Linked DNA regions of Tribolium castaneum. The protein of the gene in region 2 binds, or shares a complex with, the protein of the main gene of each other region. Links are inferred from orthologs where the notes say so. Each region holds a gene or a part of one and is shown on either strand. Other genes may lie near its edges.

Region 1 (8,682 bases), on a different chromosome or scaffold from region 2:
CACCAGACACTTACAAATTAAAACTTAACTGCATTTAATTTCTGCCTTTTTTATTCTCACATTCAAGCAATGCAAACTGACTTTTTTTTTCATCCCATTTATATCTTACAATTTTCTTTATTTTTGCAGGAGATTAAGCCCTCCAATAGGGCCTTCGACTATAAAAAAATCATGATGTTCGGACAAACACCCCTTGGGACCTTAACGATTTTTTTCAATATTTATAGTTTCTCTATTTTACAAACTTTATTTTTCTTCACCGACTTTATATCCTGCAATTTTCTTTATTTTTGTAGGAGATTAAACCCTTCGATAGGGCCTTTAACTGTAAAAAAATCATGTTCGGACAAACACCCCTTGGGACCTTAATGAAAACGAGAATGGTGCTAGCTTCATCGACAATGGTCATGTTGTTTTTGGGACAATGTCCGTATTACAGCATCCAACCAGGCAACCACTATCGCGCTACTTGTAATAGACCAAAGTCAGGGAAGAGACAAGTTTTTCGTCATTCGTTTTTTTTTATAAATAAAATTGAGATTGATACAAAATTTTATTATATTATATCAATACAGTTTATAAGAGGAGTCCGACGCGATTAAAAGTCTTGATTGCCCCACCTTATCTGTAAAAAAATATAATAATTATTAATTGTTTTGGATAAGGCTTAAGACTATGTGGTTCTTTTTAATAATAATACAATCAGTTGTGTCTATTTTTTTAGTTTCCATTAATTTTATTAAAATTATATCCCATTTCAGTTAGTAGAATTTGCAACAGTGCAATATTTGCAATGTCATCAAAATAAACTTTTTAAGTAGCATAGATGATTGTCACAGAAAATAAATTAATTAGATTAAAAAAACAATTAATTAAAAAATAGAATTAATTAGATTAATAGAAAATAAATAACGGAAAGAAGTTCCTAAATCTTTAAAATGCCATCAGAAAACCTGGATGATTTAAGACATTATTAATAAAAATTGAAAAAACAACTGTCTCGATATTTTCAAATTTTTGTGACACAGTAGCTCGTTTTTTTAAAACTCACCCTGTACTGGCTGACCCAGAGATGTGTAATCAGTCTATAACTACCTATGATAACGATTGTATACCAAATTTTATAAAAATCAGATAAGTATTATTAGGTAATTTTTGAGAGTCAATAATGCCATAATAAACGTTTTTAGAAAAAAATAAAAAATATTAGTTACTTTATTTTTAATGGTTAATCTATGGTTAAAATAAAGTATGTGCACTACCTCGCGACATACCCAGTACACAGGGTGTTGTACATAGGAACAGCCTATATATTTTTGTATAATTAAATTCTAGGTGAAAAAATAAGGAAATTTTTTATAAACAATTATAGGTCTGTCTCTTTCCGTTTCGAAATTATTCAAAAAAAAACAGCTTTTGAAAACTCACTGTGAAGTCGCCTATAAATATTTTCCCACAAATTTACACCAGAAAAACTTTTTTTTTGTAGTTTCAATAAATAGTCGACTTTTAATCGAAACACACACCTGATGTACAGGGTGTGCCAAAAAAAGCAGACTAACTTTTTTTTTCAAATAGTAAATTTATTTTCGGTTCACTTTCATAAAAGCCATTGTGGTCGAATTAACTAACCTGTTAGCATGACAACTCATGATAAAAGTTAATGCCAAGAGTACCAAATTTCCACTACAATGGTTTTTATGAAAGTGAACCGAATATATGTATTTGTTTTAACATATCGATAGCTGTGATCGATAGCATTTTTGATAAGCTTTCTAATGGTATAGAGTTTGTAAAACAAATTTAAAATACTTTTCGAGATAAAATGTATTTTGTTACAAGAAAATTTGCTAGTCTAGAATCTGACAAGTCAAATGGCAATTTATTTTTTGATATATGCTAATGTAACTAAATACATTAGTAATCTAATTATTACTTGATACTTTAAATAAATGTCATCCACCAAGAATTAATAATAAAATTAATTCATAAAGAAATATACCGGCTGTATCAGAAATACGTGTATTAATTTTAACAAGTAATAGAGCTCAACAAATAGTCATTTTTCTATTCGTAATTTTTCAGTGAAAGTTTTGACAATTTACATAAAACTGTGTTTAAGATCTGCTTAGGCTTGTGTTTTCGCACTTGCATTATTAATAACTACAAACTGTGCAAACTCAAATTAGACTGTGCATATGCGACTTTTTTTCTGGGGACTTTACACAGAACAAATTTTAATAAAATACTGCGCGTGCTTTACTTGTCATTTAATTTTTTTACTGTGTACAAATTATTTAAATACTGATCATTTATTATTTATACTGATCAAAACCGGATTTATTACTGATCGCTCTTAAAAAAAATACGCTTAAAAATACTCTAAAAAATGTAACTTTGTTTCACCACCCTGTACAACAGCCTGTGTATAATAAGAGTATTATTAGTTTGTGGACTTTAAATAGATCTATCAGAAAAAAAAAACTTATAAACCGATTACACACCCCTAAGTCACCCTGTATTATTTAGAGAGAAAAAAAAGAAAAATCTTACATCTGTCCTTGCTTTCAACCTCCGGTCAATAAGCCCACAGAGCGTCTCCGACCTGACCGATAACGTATCAATCTTCTCAATAAGTTGCTGATACGGCGACAGAGGCTGCGCCCCCATGACCACATGCCCCAATTTGGAATCAATTTTCGCATCTAATCGTGCATTTCTGATCAAATTAACGATCCAACATTCAGCTTCCTCCGGATTCATATTCAATTTTTCGGCCAACATCCCAATACTGATACATTGGTGAATTCTGCAGAACGTCTCGAAAATCATGAGACGCGCATTTTCCACAAACTCATCCAAACAAGAAATCAAAAAGAAATCATTGAACAGAACAGACTGGCATTCGTGCAGTTTCTGCCTCGCACCGTCAAAATCAAAATTAACATACAAATGCTCCAAAAATTCAGTAATGGGATCGCGGTAAGTGTAACTTTCCTGCTGGATGACTTTAACGAGGTCTTTCAACGCTGATCTGCGCACTCGATTGATGATGACAGCAGTGGCCAAGTAACGCAAAATATGGGGGCACATGGTTTGGATGGCGTTGAGGTAATGGGGGCGATAGAGGAACATGTCGATTATCAATTCACGGCCCAGCGCATGGTTGAAGAATACAAACAGCGACCAGTGGATCAACCAAGTTCTTTGCTGGAGCAACTGGAGGCTGTTGCCTCCAAACTGGTTGGGGCTGGAATCAATGTATTCGCGCAGTTTATTCAAGTCCTCAAGGGCGGATTCCCAGTTTTGAACCAGGATTTCGGAAGCGAATTTGCCCCACAAGACGCTCAAGTAGTTTTTGTCATTTGGGGGCAACACCAGCATGCAGAAGTAGAGATAGGAAGTGGAAACTGAATAGTTGCCACACTCGTATCTGTATTTCGCCAGTTTGTGGAGAGACTCAATCATCTCAATTTCAAACTGAAACATGAAAATTATAGTAAATGTACTATTGGTTACTATACGAGCCCTAACAATTAAATATTTGCACGAAATCTTGTTTAATTTTTAATTATCAAAGTGATTTTATTGATGCTGCGTTCCAGAATTACATTTTTTACCTCAAAGAGTTCTCTAATCGTTCTTCTAACTCCTAACGAGCAAACAAATGTAAATCTCTATGCGTTCTCTAAAACATTTCGGGACCAGCAGAGCATACTCGGTTCGCTCTGAGATAGTGGAGAGAGCTCTCAAATTTGTTGCTTGTTTAGAGTAGCAAATTCCAAATTTGTTTCATTAGAGCAGATATCAGTGTGATAAGTTTTAATTTTAAAGCAGTAGTTTTCAGACTCTTATGAAAGTTTTCTCGCTTTAAATCAACTGTTTTTAGACAAAATAATGCACAAATTAGCAAGAAGCAGTCTAAAACCAACTGATTTCAAGACAGTGTTTGTTTAATTCAGAGTTTTCAGCCAGTTTAAAACTCTTGAAAAATTTCTGCAGTAAATTTTGTCATTTTGGAGCAAGAAAGCGTACGAAATTGCACTGATCAAAAAAATGGGCCAGAATCTTAGACAAAATTGACACTTAACGTGATTTTTTCCCAAAATTTATCTTTTTTTGCTCGAATGCATTCGATCATCGATTTATGTATCAAAAGAATAATCAATCAATAAAGTGATGTTAATTATTGTTGATGTTAATGAAAATATGTATTTAATAAAATGTTCAAAAAATAATTTAATTTTTGTAATAAAATTTAAGGGCCAATTTCATAATCGGATTTAAAGGAGCATTCAACTAAAAGTTGTTTATAATGTGCTGGTTACTATGGATTTGTGGACATTTCACATTCTAAACATTTAATTTAATGCTCCTTTAAATTCGATTATAAAACTGGCCCTTAATTAATTAAAAAATAAAATAAATATTAATAAATAATACAATGTGTTTTTAAATAATTCTCATCTAGTCGTCTGTGAATTTCTACAGTAAAATCAGAAAATACCGCTTCATATAAATAATGATAGGCATTTAGACATCGAATATTACCATTCTCCATTTATTAAGGCTCCAAATATAAAGTAAGCTTAAAAAATAAAAGTGTTTTCTTGCACGGTATAATAATTTAGTTACATTTTAACGAAGTTTTTAAAACAAATTAAATGAATTTGCCAACTGACAGACTTTACATTTATTAACAGAGGATTCAATTGAGCAAAGCGGCACAATTTTTTACATGTAAACCAATTTCAAAGTTAACTGGATGAGAATCATTTAAAAACACATTGTATAAAATATTAAAATTTAATAAATCGAAATTTTGAGGTTAGCAACAATTTTATTAAGAATTTTTTGCTTAAAATATCATTCATTTAAAAGACACTATTGAAATTATAAAATTAATAATTAATTAATTACACGGAATAATATTTTCAATTTTATTAACATAATTTTTAGTAATTCATGTTTATTTAAGGAAATGTAAAAAAAAATAAAAAAAAATCTTTGAGAAAAAAATTAAGTATTTAATAGAAAACACTGATTTTTGTGTGACTAATTAATATGCCAACATTCTTTAATTGCTTTTAAGTTTTCATTAATTTTTGTTGCATTATAAGTGATAACAAATTCTGTAACTGACTGAACAATTTGCCCCGGAAATCACCGGAAGATCAAACCAGCTAACCCTTCTCGCATTAGCACAAATTTACGGAAAAAGCAGGATTATACCTTACTTGCCAACTGCGAAATTAAATTAAACAAAGAAGTTTACAGAATATTTCAATTACAATAAAATTTTTATTAGTGATTAACTTGACATTTGCCAATGCATTTTAAATGACAACTTAAACTCGAATTAGTCTAATTCGGAATTAAATTTTAATTTCGCTGTCTGTAGACCGACCCACAGTTTTTTTTTATTTTATTAATTAAATGGTAACAACTTCTAATACTAGTAGAATTAAATAATTTTTTTGAATATTAAATATTTTCGTAACATCAATAAAACTTCCTTGGCAGTTTATTGTTTTTTTATTTTTTTTAACAATTACTAATTCATTAATTGCATAAAATCGCAATCAAATTACATGATATTAAAACGCTGCAAAAGTTATTATTTCTTATGTTATTTTAGAACACCTGAAATACTTAAATGTTTTGTGCAAAAAGTTCGTAAAAATTTTTCTTAAGAATTTTTTGCTTATAGCATTATACGCCGTTGATCCAGAAAGACACTGCAGAATTAATTAAATTTCGATTAATCAAGTTTTTATATTTTGTATTTTATAAATACCTATTATTATTATTTGCTTAACTAATATCATATCAGAAAAATTAAAACATTATATTAAATATTTTCGTTAACATCAATAACACTTCCACGTCAGTTTATTGAGTGGCTAGCAAACAGCTCTGATTTAAATATCATTGAGTCTTTTTGGCACAAAGTAAAAAGGTATCCTACAAATCTTCCTCAATAGTTGTTGAAAGATTTAAAAAATAAAATAGAACATATTTGGAACAATAAAACGCCAGAATTTTGTAAGGGATTCGTTAAAAGTATGCCAGCGCTAAGTTGAGTCGTCATTGAAGCCAATAAAGATTGAAATTACAAAAAAATCTATCTTTTTTTTGTTCAAACAATTAATTGTCAAATATCATTCCTATTTTTCTTTGTTTTAATTTCATGTTAAATATAGTGTTTTAAAGTAGTGTTTAAGTAGGTCATAAGTTACAAATAAAGGTATTTCTTCAATTTATCCTTCTTTTTTTAAAATAAACATTCATTAGCTTGACGTGCATTTTCTTTGCAAAAATGTATTCGTCCAAACACACTATTCAGAAATGATTGTTCATTGCAAGTCACTTATGAAATTTGAACGTAATGTGCCACTTAATTTAAATTGTGAATGCCGTCAAAAGCGACAAAACCGTCAAATTAATGCAAAAAAACTTCAAATCTAAAAACGAAAGAGTACACAACAAATTTCACCGAGATGTAAAACACAAATGACGGCAAACCCCACACTTGAGAAATGCAAAAAAGTGAGTAAAAAGCTAAGATTTGACAGAGATGAGAGTATTCAAACACTACAATAATGATTTGAACGAAGCGGAACATTGTTTTTGACTTCCATAGTCGACTGGGTGAACAACCATTTTTGAACACATTGTATTTACTTTGTAATCCTTTGAAAGGAAATTAATCAAAGTTTTCGAATCCCTCATGTTTTCCATATTCTTCATGACCTCATCGTCGGCCATAATCTTCAAAATTGGTTGCACTTCCTGTTGAAGCTCCTGTAACTGAGCTACAACGTGTTGACGCCTTTGCTTCAGATCTTCAGGAACTTCTTCATTTGGATACAGCTGCTTTCGGATGTCAATAGCATAATCGATCATGTTGGTCTTGCTCAAAATATCTAATTTGGCTTTAAGCAATTCCGTTTCATCGTAAATCTACGAAATTCGGAATCAACCGAATGAACATAACCTCAAAAACTGTACCTCTTTAGCCGACAAAAATTCCAACAATGGAAACACCAAGTGCCGATCCAAATATTGCCCCATGCGGGAAGTTAAATCAAATTGGGCCATTTTATACCGTTTTTATGCAAAAACTAACAAGATTTTATAAAATGTGACACATATGGCGGCACCCTAGAATAACACTTTTATAGAAGCGGAACATAATGGTTGGCAATGAATTCCTAGCTGGAGCCATCTAGCCGCATCATCACGTACTAAAAATGGCGCGAATTAAATAATCCCGATTACTTTGTATTTTTTAAATTTTTGCTCACGTCAAAATGATGTCAAAACCTTATCAAATACAATTATTATGAAAATTTTCTAATTGTATTTGAAAAGGTGGATGCACAAACAGCACAAATAGAAGAATTTTACCCAACATGACACGATCTAAACACATTTAATATTAAAGATATTTATTAAATCCATTAAGTTTACAAAACTAATAGTCGTCACCGCATCGATGATAAAGACATACTTGCAATCAGCCAAACTGGCACCTTATGTTAGCAACTTCTGTCTATGGGAATCTCCTCACAGTGTGACTCACTTGCGGTTCGCTCTCAAAAAACTCACTTTTGGAAAAAACGCACCTATCAATGAAAACCTTCTGGAGCTCATTACTACGTTATATTCTTGGAGATCATGTTGTTCCTAACCGATAGTAGGCAATAGTCTAACCCAAACACGACACCTTGAACCACTATCTTAATAAAACTTTGAAAAATTAACGTGATATAAAAAATAAACTCAAATTTTGCTGACGTTTGTGAAATTTTTACTTGTCAGCCGCGCATCGGTACCACGTTTTTCTTCAGTAATATGAAATTTTAAATCCGCCAATAGGATTTCTTTTTCCCGTAAAACACTAAGGCCATCTATCCGCATCATCAGTAAATCCTATTTCAGTGAGCACAGCTTCCTTGATTAATGAAGGAACTTTCCCTTCACACGGCTGGCCGCATTGCTTAGTTCCATGGCATATTTTTGTTTCTGAGAGGGAGCCACTATAAAGTAAAACAATTCTGACAGTTCTAAGGTTAAGTGTTGTCACACTGCTGTCAGTGCAGAAGATTTCTAAGGCAAAACGCATTAGTATTAGCTGTATAGTTGTAGAAAACGTATTCTACAAACATTTGGCACGTGTTTTTACTGTGAGGAACCAAAAGCGCATGTTGCCATGTGAGTGACCAAGAGCCTATGCCAAGAGCGAACTGCGAAACACAAAACGAACGTAAAAAGCGTCATACAAACTTGAACATTTTGCCGAATGGTAAACAAACATTTTTATGCTCACGAAAATGATCAAAAGAGTGTTGGAACGCATTTGCAACCAACTGTACAAAATGTACCCATTAGTGTCGAAATGCTTTGCATTTCAAATTTTGATTAAAACTTGTGGAAAAAAAATGAAACTAAGCTTTGTCTTGCCTTCCTGTTGGCAAAATTTTGTATAAATCTTGTGCAAAAGAGGTTGAAAACTTAAATTTGTAAAAAATATGACGGCTGTCACCTTTGACACCAAGTGAATTTTTCAGCAGCAACTAATAGATGGCGCTACAATAAAGTAAGCTGTCAAAAAACACTTTTTTTGTTCAATGCGACCAGCCGTGTAAAGGGTACTTCCCTTCACTAATCAAGGAAGCT
Region 2 (11,127 bases):
CTGGGGTCCCCAGGACGAAAATAAACGATTTTCTTAAAAACAACTCAAATTTTATCACTCACTCGAGTTAAAACAATAAGAATTGATTAAAGGAGTTATTAATTCAAAAAGCTATTTCACTTATCACAGCTTCCCATCACGTGTGACCTTGAGCAAACCGGCGGCAAAAATTCAAATTTGAATAATTGTTGAATGGGCGCGCGTCAGCGTTTTTTACTCCAGCAGCAGCTGTTGCAACAATCCGAGCAAACAGTAATTAATTTGTAGAATTATCGCCAAAACTGGTGTTTTTCAAGTGAACCATAATCGGGTAAACTCTTGTAACTAAGAGGGTTATTTTATCATCAAACAAACTCGCTCCTCATTGACCTTCGCGTATTGTGCAAACATTGTGGTGGGACTCGGATTAATATATAAACGCAAGGCGCGATTTGTCTCATTACAATTTTATTAAAGATGTACGAAAAAGTCAACGGTGAAATAAACACTTCAGCGGTCCACGTGGTGGACCTGCGGAGCGACACCATAAGCAAGCCCACCCCCGAGATGAGGGAGGCCATGGCGACGGCGGTCGTCGGCGACGACGTCTTCGGGGAAGACCCCACCGTGGCCGAGCTTGAGCGCCGCTCGGCCGAGCTTTTGGGCAAGGAGGACGCCGTCTTCGTGGCCAGCGGCACCATGGCCAATTTAATCGCAAGTGAGTTTATTGCCACTTCTTTTGCAACGTGTCAAATGTCGGCGATAAAGCGGAAATTTCCCCGCTGAAACTATTTTTTTTTCACGAGATAACGCAGAGCTTAAGAATCAACAAAATCAAACTGGTTATCTTGATCAAATACATTTTTGCAAGTAACGATTTTGACGTCCGAGCGGGTTTATTGAGCAATCGTTTATCAAATGGGCAATTATTTCTTACATCTCACGTGTTATAATTTAATTTTTAATTCAGCATAACTTAATTATTTGTTTGCGTTAAACACACACGTTCTGATTATTTGCCAATTTCGATAATATTATGCAACTCTAACGTCTTATCACTTTTTAAGTTATGGTCCACTGCAGCCAGCGGGGGAGCGAGATAATTTCAGGCGATAATGGGCACACATTCAGATTTGAACAAGGTATGATTGTGTAGGTACTAATTTTCGCATTGCGGTTTCGCAACTTCATTAAATACAGTTATGGATAGAAACGAGATTGTTACCCGCCCATTAATCACTTAATCAGAAAGAAATTTCCATTGGTAATTAGTTGTTGCGCAATTTTAGGGGGCCCCGCCCAAATTGCCGGCGTCCAAGCCTCCCTTATCCGCAATAACAGTGACGGGACGTTCAGTTTGGACGAACTCAGAGACAGAATCCGGAAAAACCCGGACTGTCATGAGCCCTACACCACTCTAGTCATTATTGAAAACACCCACAACATGTGTGGCGGAAAAGTAAAGTTATTCATAATAAAAAACCCAAAAGTACTATTGTTCCGCTTCAGGTATTACCGTTAGATTGGATCGAAAAAGTGAAAAACATTTCAAAAGAGTACAACATTCCGGTCCATATGGACGGGGCTCGCGTCATGAACGCCGCCGTCTACCTCAAAGTACCTGTCGAACGCGTCGTCCGGGACGTGGACACCGTTTGCTTCTGCCTGAGTAAGGGGCTAGGCGCCCCCATTGGGTCGATTCTCGCCGGCAGCAAGACTTTTGTCGACAAGTAAAACCAGCGAGTGATTTTGGCGATGTCTAACGCGGTTTTGCAGGGCTAGGAGGACGAGGAAGGTCCTGGGGGGCGGCTGGCGGCAGGCTGGGATTATCGCAGCCGCGGGGCTCGTGGCCCTTGACAAGATGATCGACCGGTTGCAGGAGGACCACGACCACATCTTGCAAATTGCCAGAGGTAAATAGTTTGGTTTTTATGGCAGGCGGAAATTGAGCGTTGTTACAGCTATCGATAGCTTAAGATCGGACATCTTCAAAGTTGACTTGCCCTCAATTCACACAAATATTTTGATGATGTATATTGATCGGAGCAAAGTGGCCGTCAAAGAAGTCATCTATCGGTTGGCCAAAGTGTTTAAGAATGATATAGTGAAAGTTAGTGTTAGGGCTTCCTCCATTCGGCCCGATTGTGTCAGGTTTGTGACGTACTGGCAGATCACCGATGATGATATCAGAGATACGATCGACAGAGTTACGTTTGTTTTGAAAGAATTCGATGACCAATTCAAGTCGATCAAAGCTTAAATAGGTATTAAGTGTTTATTATTATGATGATTATATTTTTTGATTGTTTTTACACGCTTTTGGAATTTACACGATATGACCTGAATACAAATAAGATAATATTTAAGTGAAAACGCATTTATAACTAATAAATATATTTTTATTGTGTATGGCTTTCCTTTGGTCACAACTCTCCCGTTTACTCTCATTCCCAAGGGGTTATACATGTATTACAGTTACACAAACAAACAAATAAAAAAATAAAAAGATGAAGATTTAAATCTCCTGGTGTACGTAACACATTTTTTTTTTCTCAAAATGACAGAGCTACTGTTTGTAAAATAATTGAGTTGTAAAAAATGAACGCAGTATTCAGTCAAAAAATCGCTATACAAGGTGAGTCTGCTGAAAGTATTTTTTACTACATCTCAAAAACTAAATGTCGCACGCAGAAATGAGCGTTTGCTATTAAAGAAAAATACTTTGTATTAAAAAAATTAAAAATATGATGATGATAAATGATGCTCCGAACAAAAAAAATTGTAAAAAAAATTGTCGCTAGCTGTTTGAATTTTTAATTTTTGCAAATTATTTACCTTCGATTTTTTTTTCTATAATAAAAGCTTTACTGTGAAAATTTTTCTGTAAAGCACTCAAACATAAAATCTTGTGCGCTATGCCCTCGGCTTTATTTATAAAACAGCTTCTTTCATAAAGAATTGCATCATGTGTAGGGTACTTATTAGCTATTAGATAAATAGCTGTTAGCTGTGTCATACAAGTAACTCGTAATTAAATTTATTTTTATTTATTTCCAGGTATTAGCGACATGAAGTCCAAGACATTTCAAGTGGACTTGTCGGGCGTCCAAACCAACATCCTTATGATGTATTTGGACAAGTCCATCATCACGGCCAAAGAAGTGCAAAAGCGCTTAGCCTCTGTTTTTGAGACCGATGAAGTTAAAGTTTGCGTTAAAACTAGTTCGAGAGACGCAGGAGTTATCAGATTTGTCACTTATTGGGAAATTAGTGACCAGGACGTCACAGCTGCAGTAAAAAAACTACAGCTCGTGATTAGAGAAATTGACAACAGACATAATTAAATCGTATTGCATAAGCCGTAACGTGAAGTATTCCTTAATTGAAGTATTATATTGTTCGTAACAATAAACGAAATTACTTTTTGTGGCTATTTATTTGAATTTGAAAACCCCGCTTTCGAAACAACCCAGTGAAGTGTGCATGAACCGAAATCCCGTAAGGGTGAAGTGAATTTTGCTAAGATTCGTTCATTAATCAATATTTATTACTTAAATAATAATCTCATCATATGCTGCAACGAAAAAATAGAACCTGATTGATAAATAAAATTGATCAGACAGACGTCAAGTTTAGGTTATGTTTACTCTTCCCTGATGTCAGAGATTTGTGTATAAATAATGCCTAAAACATTATTCTAAGAAGGAATAATCTATTCGAAATGACGAGTATGTTTAAACGATAGATGCAACTCCGGTTACGAGTGAGGAACAAGTTTTGTTTTGCCACTTGTGAAACCACAAGAAACCTACTGGCGGGAACACTGCACAATTCTAGGGCAATTGAAAATGAAACTACAAAGCACAGTGATTTTGGCCCAAGTTCAAGTCAGTTGCGAGAATTGGACAGACTAGGGGAGAGGAGACGAAGTCCAGAGAGGCAGTATTCACGTCACAAAAGTCGAAATTGGAATACACCCGGCTTTTGTCACACACGTTGCTATTAATTTCTTTATTGTTGTGAAAGAATTATTTTTATTTTTATTGAATCCGAAATAATGTTTGTTTTTGCGAATATTTCAATTAGTAAATAAACTCGCATTTTGAACCTGCCGCCTTCATCATTGTCGAAAAGTTTAGCACCGCTGAGCACCGCCAACCTGTGGTCACAAACAAATCCCCTAAACGGAGGACCAAAAACTGTCCAATTTGTTGATAAATCACACTATTATTAGGTGATAAGTCTTCAGCTCTTACAAATATTCAATCAAGTAACGATTACTACAGACTGATGTAATTTAAAGTGAATTATAATTAAACGAATGCGAGTTTCGCCATTTTATTGTTTTCATGTTGGCAGAGCTTAGTCTAATTTTTGCGGCGTCATAAGTTTGTGATTAGAATTAACTTCCCTCGCTTACATAAGCACGAAATAACAATGGAAAAAGAAGAATCCCAACAAGCTGAAGTCCAGACTGCTGAAGTAACGACATGTAATGAAGAATCTGTGAAAAAATTTTGTGACGCTGACATTGCTGGTATTCACCAAATAGCGCAGTTTTGGGTGTTCTAACATTTTTCTAGGCCAGGATTCGTGTGAAAGCCACCCCTACAAGCACCTTCTCAATTTTGAGCCCACCGTTGAGCAGTTGTCTCGCGTTGAGAACATAGAGGCCCCCAAAACGCTCAAGGAAACCCCTCTGTGTGACATCGACACGAAAACCAGTCTCGAGGAATTAATAACCGATTTGAAAGCCTGGAAGGAGTTAGGGGTTGACGTTGAATACTCGGATCATGGCTACAAAGCTTTGACTTGTCTCGTCCAGATATCGACCCCTGACAAAGACTACATCATCGATGCGATTGCCTTAAAAGACGAGTTGCACGCCTTGAATGAAGTTTTCACCAATCCAGACATTGTGAAAATTTTTCATTCGGCGGTAAATGACCTGAAGTGGCTCCAGCAGGACTTGGGTGTTTTTGTCGTCAACTTGTTTGACACTCAAATCGCGATGAAAGCGCTGGGGTACAAAAAGTTGGGACTGGACGCACTTTTGCAGGACTATCACGTCGCAAAGGATAAGACAATGCAACGTCAGGATTTTCGCAGAAGGCCCCTGCCTCCCAAATTTAAAGACTACGCCCGTGTGGACTCCCATTACTTAATCGGGTTTTACCACAAACTCAAAAATGAGTTGATTGAAGCGAACCTTTTGCGGGCTGTGCTTGATGATTGTAATAACTGCTGCAAGATTCTCTATCCTAAAGTTGAAGATGAAGCGTATTTGTCGGTTCGTAGAAATGTCGAAGAAATACACAAACGCCAGTTGTTAGTTTTGGAAAAACTGAACAGCTGGAGGCACCAAATTGCCCAATATTTGGACAAAAACGTGGGCTGTGTCTTATCTAAGAGTAATATGGAGACCTTGGTTTTGCAAATGCCGAGTGATTCGGCTGATATTATGCAAATTTCGCAGTCATCACACGTGAAGGAACATTTGGACGAAGTTATGCAAATATTGTCGGAGGGAAATCCCGTCCGGTTTAATGAGTTTTCTAGAAATAAACGTAAATTTAACCAAACTGGGTTTGGTAGAAATGAACCGTCGGGAAGTAATAAGAAAAAATGGAATAATCAAATTGGCAAAAATGTGCAAAACATGTTTGACTTGAGGAACACTTTGCCCCAAAGGGACAGGAAGCCCTTCTGGAACAAGCAAGCGGCCAAACGTTTTCACAAGTATAACTAGACCACAAATTTTTTTTTTTTTGGATTAATTCTTTTTGGTAAGTTTCAATTTTATTCAGTTAATTATGTTTTTTATGAGTGGTTTGGACCACTTTTATTTTTTTCATTTGGGTACAAATGCGTCTTTATGGAAACGCTACTTCACAAAATACAGCTTAATGTGTTTGAAAAAATTAGAAAGATATTTCGCTTAACTCCACAATGTGAATTCATAAGTGAAATATTTCGAAAACTACTGTGGGTATAGGGCTCCTGTTGTTGATAAAAACAAAACTAAAACATTTAAGATATTGGAAAAGACAATAACAAACATATTGTATAAGTGCGGCAATAAATTATATAGTTCATTCAAAAAAAAAAAAAATAAAGTAACAAACCTTTCCCCCCTCCATTATTTCATTCGTGGAAGAATAACAAATTAGTTTCGAGGGAAAAATAGTTTAAAAAGCTGATGTTTTGTAAAATGAAAAAAATTATTAAAGTGCACTTATCTTCATGGCATCTACTTCCGCTACAATATGTAGCAATAAGGTATTGCAAATAAATAAAAACCAAGTTAATATTATGTCATTATTATACCTACCATTCCACATTTCACTTACAATATGTTAATTGTATCACATATTCAATCCCACTTGGAGATGAGCAATTGAAAAAATACACTTTACGACATCATAAACTCAAATGTCATCAAATTAGTTTGAAAATTTTATAAAGTAGTTAATCTGTTGTAAAATGTTGCACTCAAACGATTATAACTTTTCAACATCTCAAATTGTGTGGGTTCGAGTAAAAATAAAACTGTTAATTTGATTTAGTTATTGAATGTTGGAACGTATTAACAAAAAAAGAATGAATCATACGATAATATGACATCTTACGTCATAAAAATGTGCTGATAATCTTGAATAAGTAAATTCTAAACCTAATAAAGTAAATCCGCAACAAAATAGAATAATGCACTTACCTTTATTTTTCTTTTGTTGTGAATACGACAGCTTTACTTTCTTTGTTGAAAAAAATTAAAAAATGCGTGAGCAAATGCACCTTGCTGCTGCTACACGACAAGAGTCCGTTTTATTTTTTTTTCACTTGTTGGTTAATACTATGCACGAGAATTAACTGCAAATTATTATTTATTGATCATTTTATTTCGGCCTTTCGCTAATACATGATAAAAATACAAAATCTAGCGTTTCGCACTGTTGGTGTATGGATAAAGGGTCTGGAAAGTCACGGAATCAGGGGGCACCTCATCCTCCGACTCCGACTCCCCGTCCGATTCGAACGTATTATCCGGAATATCGTACAACCGGATCATCGGCTTATTCGGATCTTTCATAATCAAATACTTCCCATCCTTCTGTTTCATAACAATGTCAATAATACACCGCAGAATCCCCCACGCATTATCCATATTCAGATTAATCTGAGTGGCAAACTCGTGCGGCTTATACTGCTGTGTACCCAGAATAACATGCTTGCTGTTATCCCTGACATGGGCCCGGGAAACATAACCGAATTTAATTTGGTCGCTGCCAGCCAGCAACGCCTGAACGGTCCATTTGGCCAGCTTGCAGGCGTTATTACGCAGCTCATTGGCCAAAACGGCGCCTCTCTGGGTGTCCAGTTTCTGGCGCCACTCCACCCCATTGGCCAATTTGGAATCCCATTCGTTCAAGGCCTTGATTGACAGGAATTGGAGCTCGCCATTCGGGGACTGGACCACGGCATCGTGTTCGCAACGGACAACCAAAAACTACACAAATTAAACGTGGACAGAAACAAAACGAAAAAATTACTATTCCGCTCCCTAGGTCATATTTGCGGTATCTGTAGGCCACACTGGCGACCTCCCCTTCCTCCTCCTCGGAGATAAAAGGGTTTGGGTTGTCGAACTTGAAGCGGGGCTCCCCGGTACCTGTTCTTAATACCTGTTGACTGAAATTGTGGTTAATGAAAGTGGCTTCCAAGGCCAGGTTTCGAGGGGAGTTTAAGGAGTTGCCGTCGTCTTGTGGGGGCTCCACGGACGTTTCGTTGACGGTTAAAAGATCAAACTCCGTATTGTCACGCTTATCAAAGAAGAGTTTATCGCCTGAAAAATTTTGTTTGAGATTTGTTACACTTGTAAGGGCACAGTACCAATTTTTTCAATCACGATGTCCCAGGAATAATTCGAGCGAGTGCAGCACATGATGGTCGCAAGGATCGCATCAGTGGCGTACACATTGCCCTCCGTTTTACTCAACTTACGGATAATCGGATCATCAGTTGTTGTAACCTGAGGATAATTAATTTTAATTTTTTGCCATCAATGATATTAAAAATAACCCACTGTATGGAAGATACGATTGACGCTTTGCAGCGGCTTCTCATTCTTCACGTTGACACGATCGTACGACTTGTCATAGTACTCCAACTCGCCACAACAAGTAATATCCTCGCCTAAAAACCAAAATAGAAAAATTCGCATTGCTTAATTAAACCAACCGTCTTTGACGTTAGGGAGCGACAATTTTCCCAACCGAGGGAAATCCATTTCCTCAATGGTGACCCAATCCGGTTTGACCGTAACCGAAGCGTCCCTGATCTTAATCTGGGGCTAAAACCGCCAACTATATTGCGGTAAAACTCAAGCGAGATCTTACCCGTCCTTGTCCCCATTTCTTAACCTGGCTCCTCTTATACGTGTCCCTGGCTTTAACCCCCTTCCCGAGGGACTGCATGCCGCTGCCTTGCACCCCAGCACGGCCGCCACGCCCGCGCAAGTTGCGCTGGTTCGCGCGGAAGCGCCCCCGTTGATAGGGGGGCTTCTGGACGCGTGTTGTGTCCACCAAATGAAAAGTGCTCTCGTCTTCGTCATGATAATACGCGTATTGACTGCCAGAACCGAACTGGGACGCATACTTGTCTAAAATTGCGAAAAATAAGTCACTTAACCTCAAATTTGACATGTGTCAATGTCAGACTAACTGGCATATTTCTTGTCTTGGAAGGCGGCCCCCGTCCAGTCGCTGATTTTGCCGAGACGGTCGCCTTTGCTGAAGGGCTGGTACGGCATATCTTTGAACTGGTCGGGCAGCTCGCAGGGCCCCCATCCAGTCGGGTTGTCCTGGATTACGGGGGCCACGAATTTGGGGACCTCACCCGCTGATTGACCATCAGTCATAGTCATTTGACTTGCTTTCAGAAGTTAGGAAGTGTTCAATTCAATATGTTGAAGCAGAAACCGCGAGTTGTGCACAACACTTGGCAAAAAGAAATGTGCGCGCGCAGATTCTGACAATCGACAGTTTTTGAAATTCGGCGCTTTTGAAATCAAAATAACATGGCCAACTTACATCAAATGTCGCTGCGCTTGAGAAAACATTTTCATCCACTTTTTTTTCAATTTAATTCTCTAATTTTTGTTTACGTGTTGTTTCACTTACCTTTTCTACACTTTTTTTCAGAAAAAAATTGTCACCCTGATCCGCAGCGACATTTGATGTAAGTTGGCGATGCTAAATAATAATGGAATCCTGTTAAAAATCCTTCACTCTTGGGTTTCCAATTAATTTTAAATTAAATTTTTTCCATTACAACCTAATTGATTTATTGCATTGTTAATAACTAATATTTAACTTGGAAAAACAGCAAGAAAATAAGCTCTAATGGCAATAAGGCATTATTTTTTTCTATTTTGGTGTCTCACTAACTTTATTTTGCATAAAAACTCATTGCCATCACAAAGAACGCAACAGCGCAAAAATTTGTATTGAATTCAAATTCTTCTACACGTAACTTCACTTTTTCGTAGTATATTTTACGTCCCCTATTATTGCGTATTGACGATGACATCAGATTTCTCTCAGCAAAGAGAACACTGATAAGGAGTGGGTTTAATAAGCTCGCATTTGCATAACACACATTTATTTATAATAAATTTAAATACGAATTTGTAAATATTATGCCTGGCACACATCTGTACAAAAAGTGCCCATAAAATACAAGCAATACCGTTATCATGTCCACGACAATGAATAAATAACACATTTTGACTCCATATTTACAACATGCTGTCTGTGACTTCGCCCGGATTCTCCAGCGCGGCTTTGCGTTCGCTGACAGCGGTCACAAGTTTCCTGTACGGCCCTAGGGGCAAGTTCAGGCTTTGGAGATCGTTTTCTGTCAGTATCATCAGCGTTTCCAGGTCGATTTTCTGCTCCTCGAAGCGGGGAAGGTACTCTCCTAGCCCCCAGGCGGTCAAGAAGCGTTCCAGGGGAGCGTTCGGGTTATCGTCGTCGCTGGACTCGGGGTCTGATAACTCGTCTTCGATTGATAGAGTGTTGGTTCTGGGGCCGTAGCTTTCCCCTGACCCGATTGAACTCTCCTCGTTGGGGCCTTCGCTGGAGTAGAAGCCTTGGAATGTGTTGGTTATGCTCTTTCTAAATAAAAAACGTGTTTTTGTGCTTTCGCATATTGATTATTTGTTACCGGAACGCTATGCTTCCAATTCCTGGGCGCACGAAAATACTCGCTGGTTCTTGTTGGAGTTTAGTGTCGCCGTTTGTTTCCAATTCGTGCATGAAGTCAGGCTGGGAGATGGACCTTGTGAGGCCGTTGCTGGACGGTGGTGGCGGCGGAGACGACTCTATGTACTCAGCTTCGTTGAAGACCGATTCCAGACGGCCTCTCCTGCCATCGATGGTCCCCGTGTAAAGTACCTCAGAGTCTCGCCGATACCCCGTTAGTGATCTGACTGAGCGTTTGCCGTCTTCAATTTCACTAATCTGGAACGAGTTTTTCAAATAAATGCTTATTTACTCTCGGGAGCACCTTGAAGTCGTCGTCGAAGCCAGGCCGCGTTGTTCGGCTGGCGAGCACCCGCTTCTGCACCGACCCCAAATTCCGCATCCCGGAAACGGTCCCGTTGCCCACGATGGTGCTGAACCTCGGAGGGGCCGGCCCCAGATTCGACAAGTTCGACATGGACCCACTTTTAATTCTGGTTTTGAGCGTCTCTATCATCGACGGCCTGTGGTGACCTTTGTTCATACGTTTCTCCAGCTTCTCTTGAACTTGCTCTTTTTTGACTTGGCGTTTGTTGAATTCCTGAAAAGAAAGTGAAACGATTGGTTTCTCTCGACGGGGCCGTGTTTTACTTTGATGCGTTTTTCTGACTCTTTCTTTGCTTTTTCTTTGAGTGCTTTGGCTTTCTTTTTGTCGCCGGCCTCCAGTTTGGCGTGGACGCCGTCCAAGAACCGCAGGATGTCGTCGCGGTTGTTCATTCCGGCGAGTTCTTGGGCGGTGCGGCCGTCGATATCAGTCGAGTAAATGTTGGCTCCGAAATTGACTAGGAATGTGACGATGTGTTTGTGGCCCTGCGCCGCGGCCAAGTGCAGGGCCGTGTTGCCGAAG

What was found.
Region 1: eIF3d1 (region 2) and eIF3e share a complex: the UniProt entries of both Drosophila melanogaster proteins name them as parts of the eukaryotic translation initiation factor 3 (eIF-3) complex. The link is inferred for Tribolium castaneum from reciprocal best matches to the Drosophila melanogaster genes eIF3d1 and eIF3e.

What each region holds. Positions count from the first base shown.
Region 1 is NC_087394.1:22,552,240-22,560,921, reverse strand, and holds eIF3e (eukaryotic translation initiation factor 3 subunit E), read right to left. Parts: upstream 7,190-8,682; 5' UTR 7,102-7,189; coding exon 7,012-7,101; intron 6,964-7,011; coding exon 6,685-6,963; intron 3,481-6,684; coding exon 2,554-3,480; intron 626-2,553; coding exon 599-625; 3' UTR 535-598; downstream 1-534. UniProt on the Drosophila melanogaster protein: Component of the eukaryotic translation initiation factor 3 (eIF-3) complex, which is involved in protein synthesis of a specialized repertoire of mRNAs and, together with other initiation factors, stimulates binding of mRNA and methionyl-tRNAi to the 40S ribosome.
Region 2 is NC_087399.1:4,807,112-4,818,238, reverse strand, and holds eIF3d1 (eukaryotic initiation factor 3 p66 subunit), read right to left. Parts: upstream 8,970-11,127; 5' UTR 8,903-8,969; coding exon 8,701-8,902; intron 8,639-8,700; coding exon 8,376-8,638; intron 8,330-8,375; coding exon 8,218-8,329; intron 8,173-8,217; coding exon 8,063-8,172; intron 8,009-8,062; coding exon 7,870-8,008; intron 7,823-7,869; coding exon 7,530-7,822; intron 7,487-7,529; coding exon 6,917-7,486; 3' UTR 6,860-6,916; downstream 1-6,859. Other genes in the region: uncharacterized protein LOC659017, read left to right, coding at 457-697, 1,047-1,121, 1,269-1,438, 1,489-1,709, 1,756-1,892, 1,941-2,239; Sans (ankyrin repeat and SAM domain-containing protein 4B), read right to left, coding at 9,776-10,154, 10,204-10,499, 10,546-10,821, 10,872-11,127. UniProt on the Drosophila melanogaster protein: mRNA cap-binding component of the eukaryotic translation initiation factor 3 (eIF-3) complex, which is involved in protein synthesis of a specialized repertoire of mRNAs and, together with other initiation factors, stimulates binding of mRNA and methionyl-tRNAi to the 40S ribosome.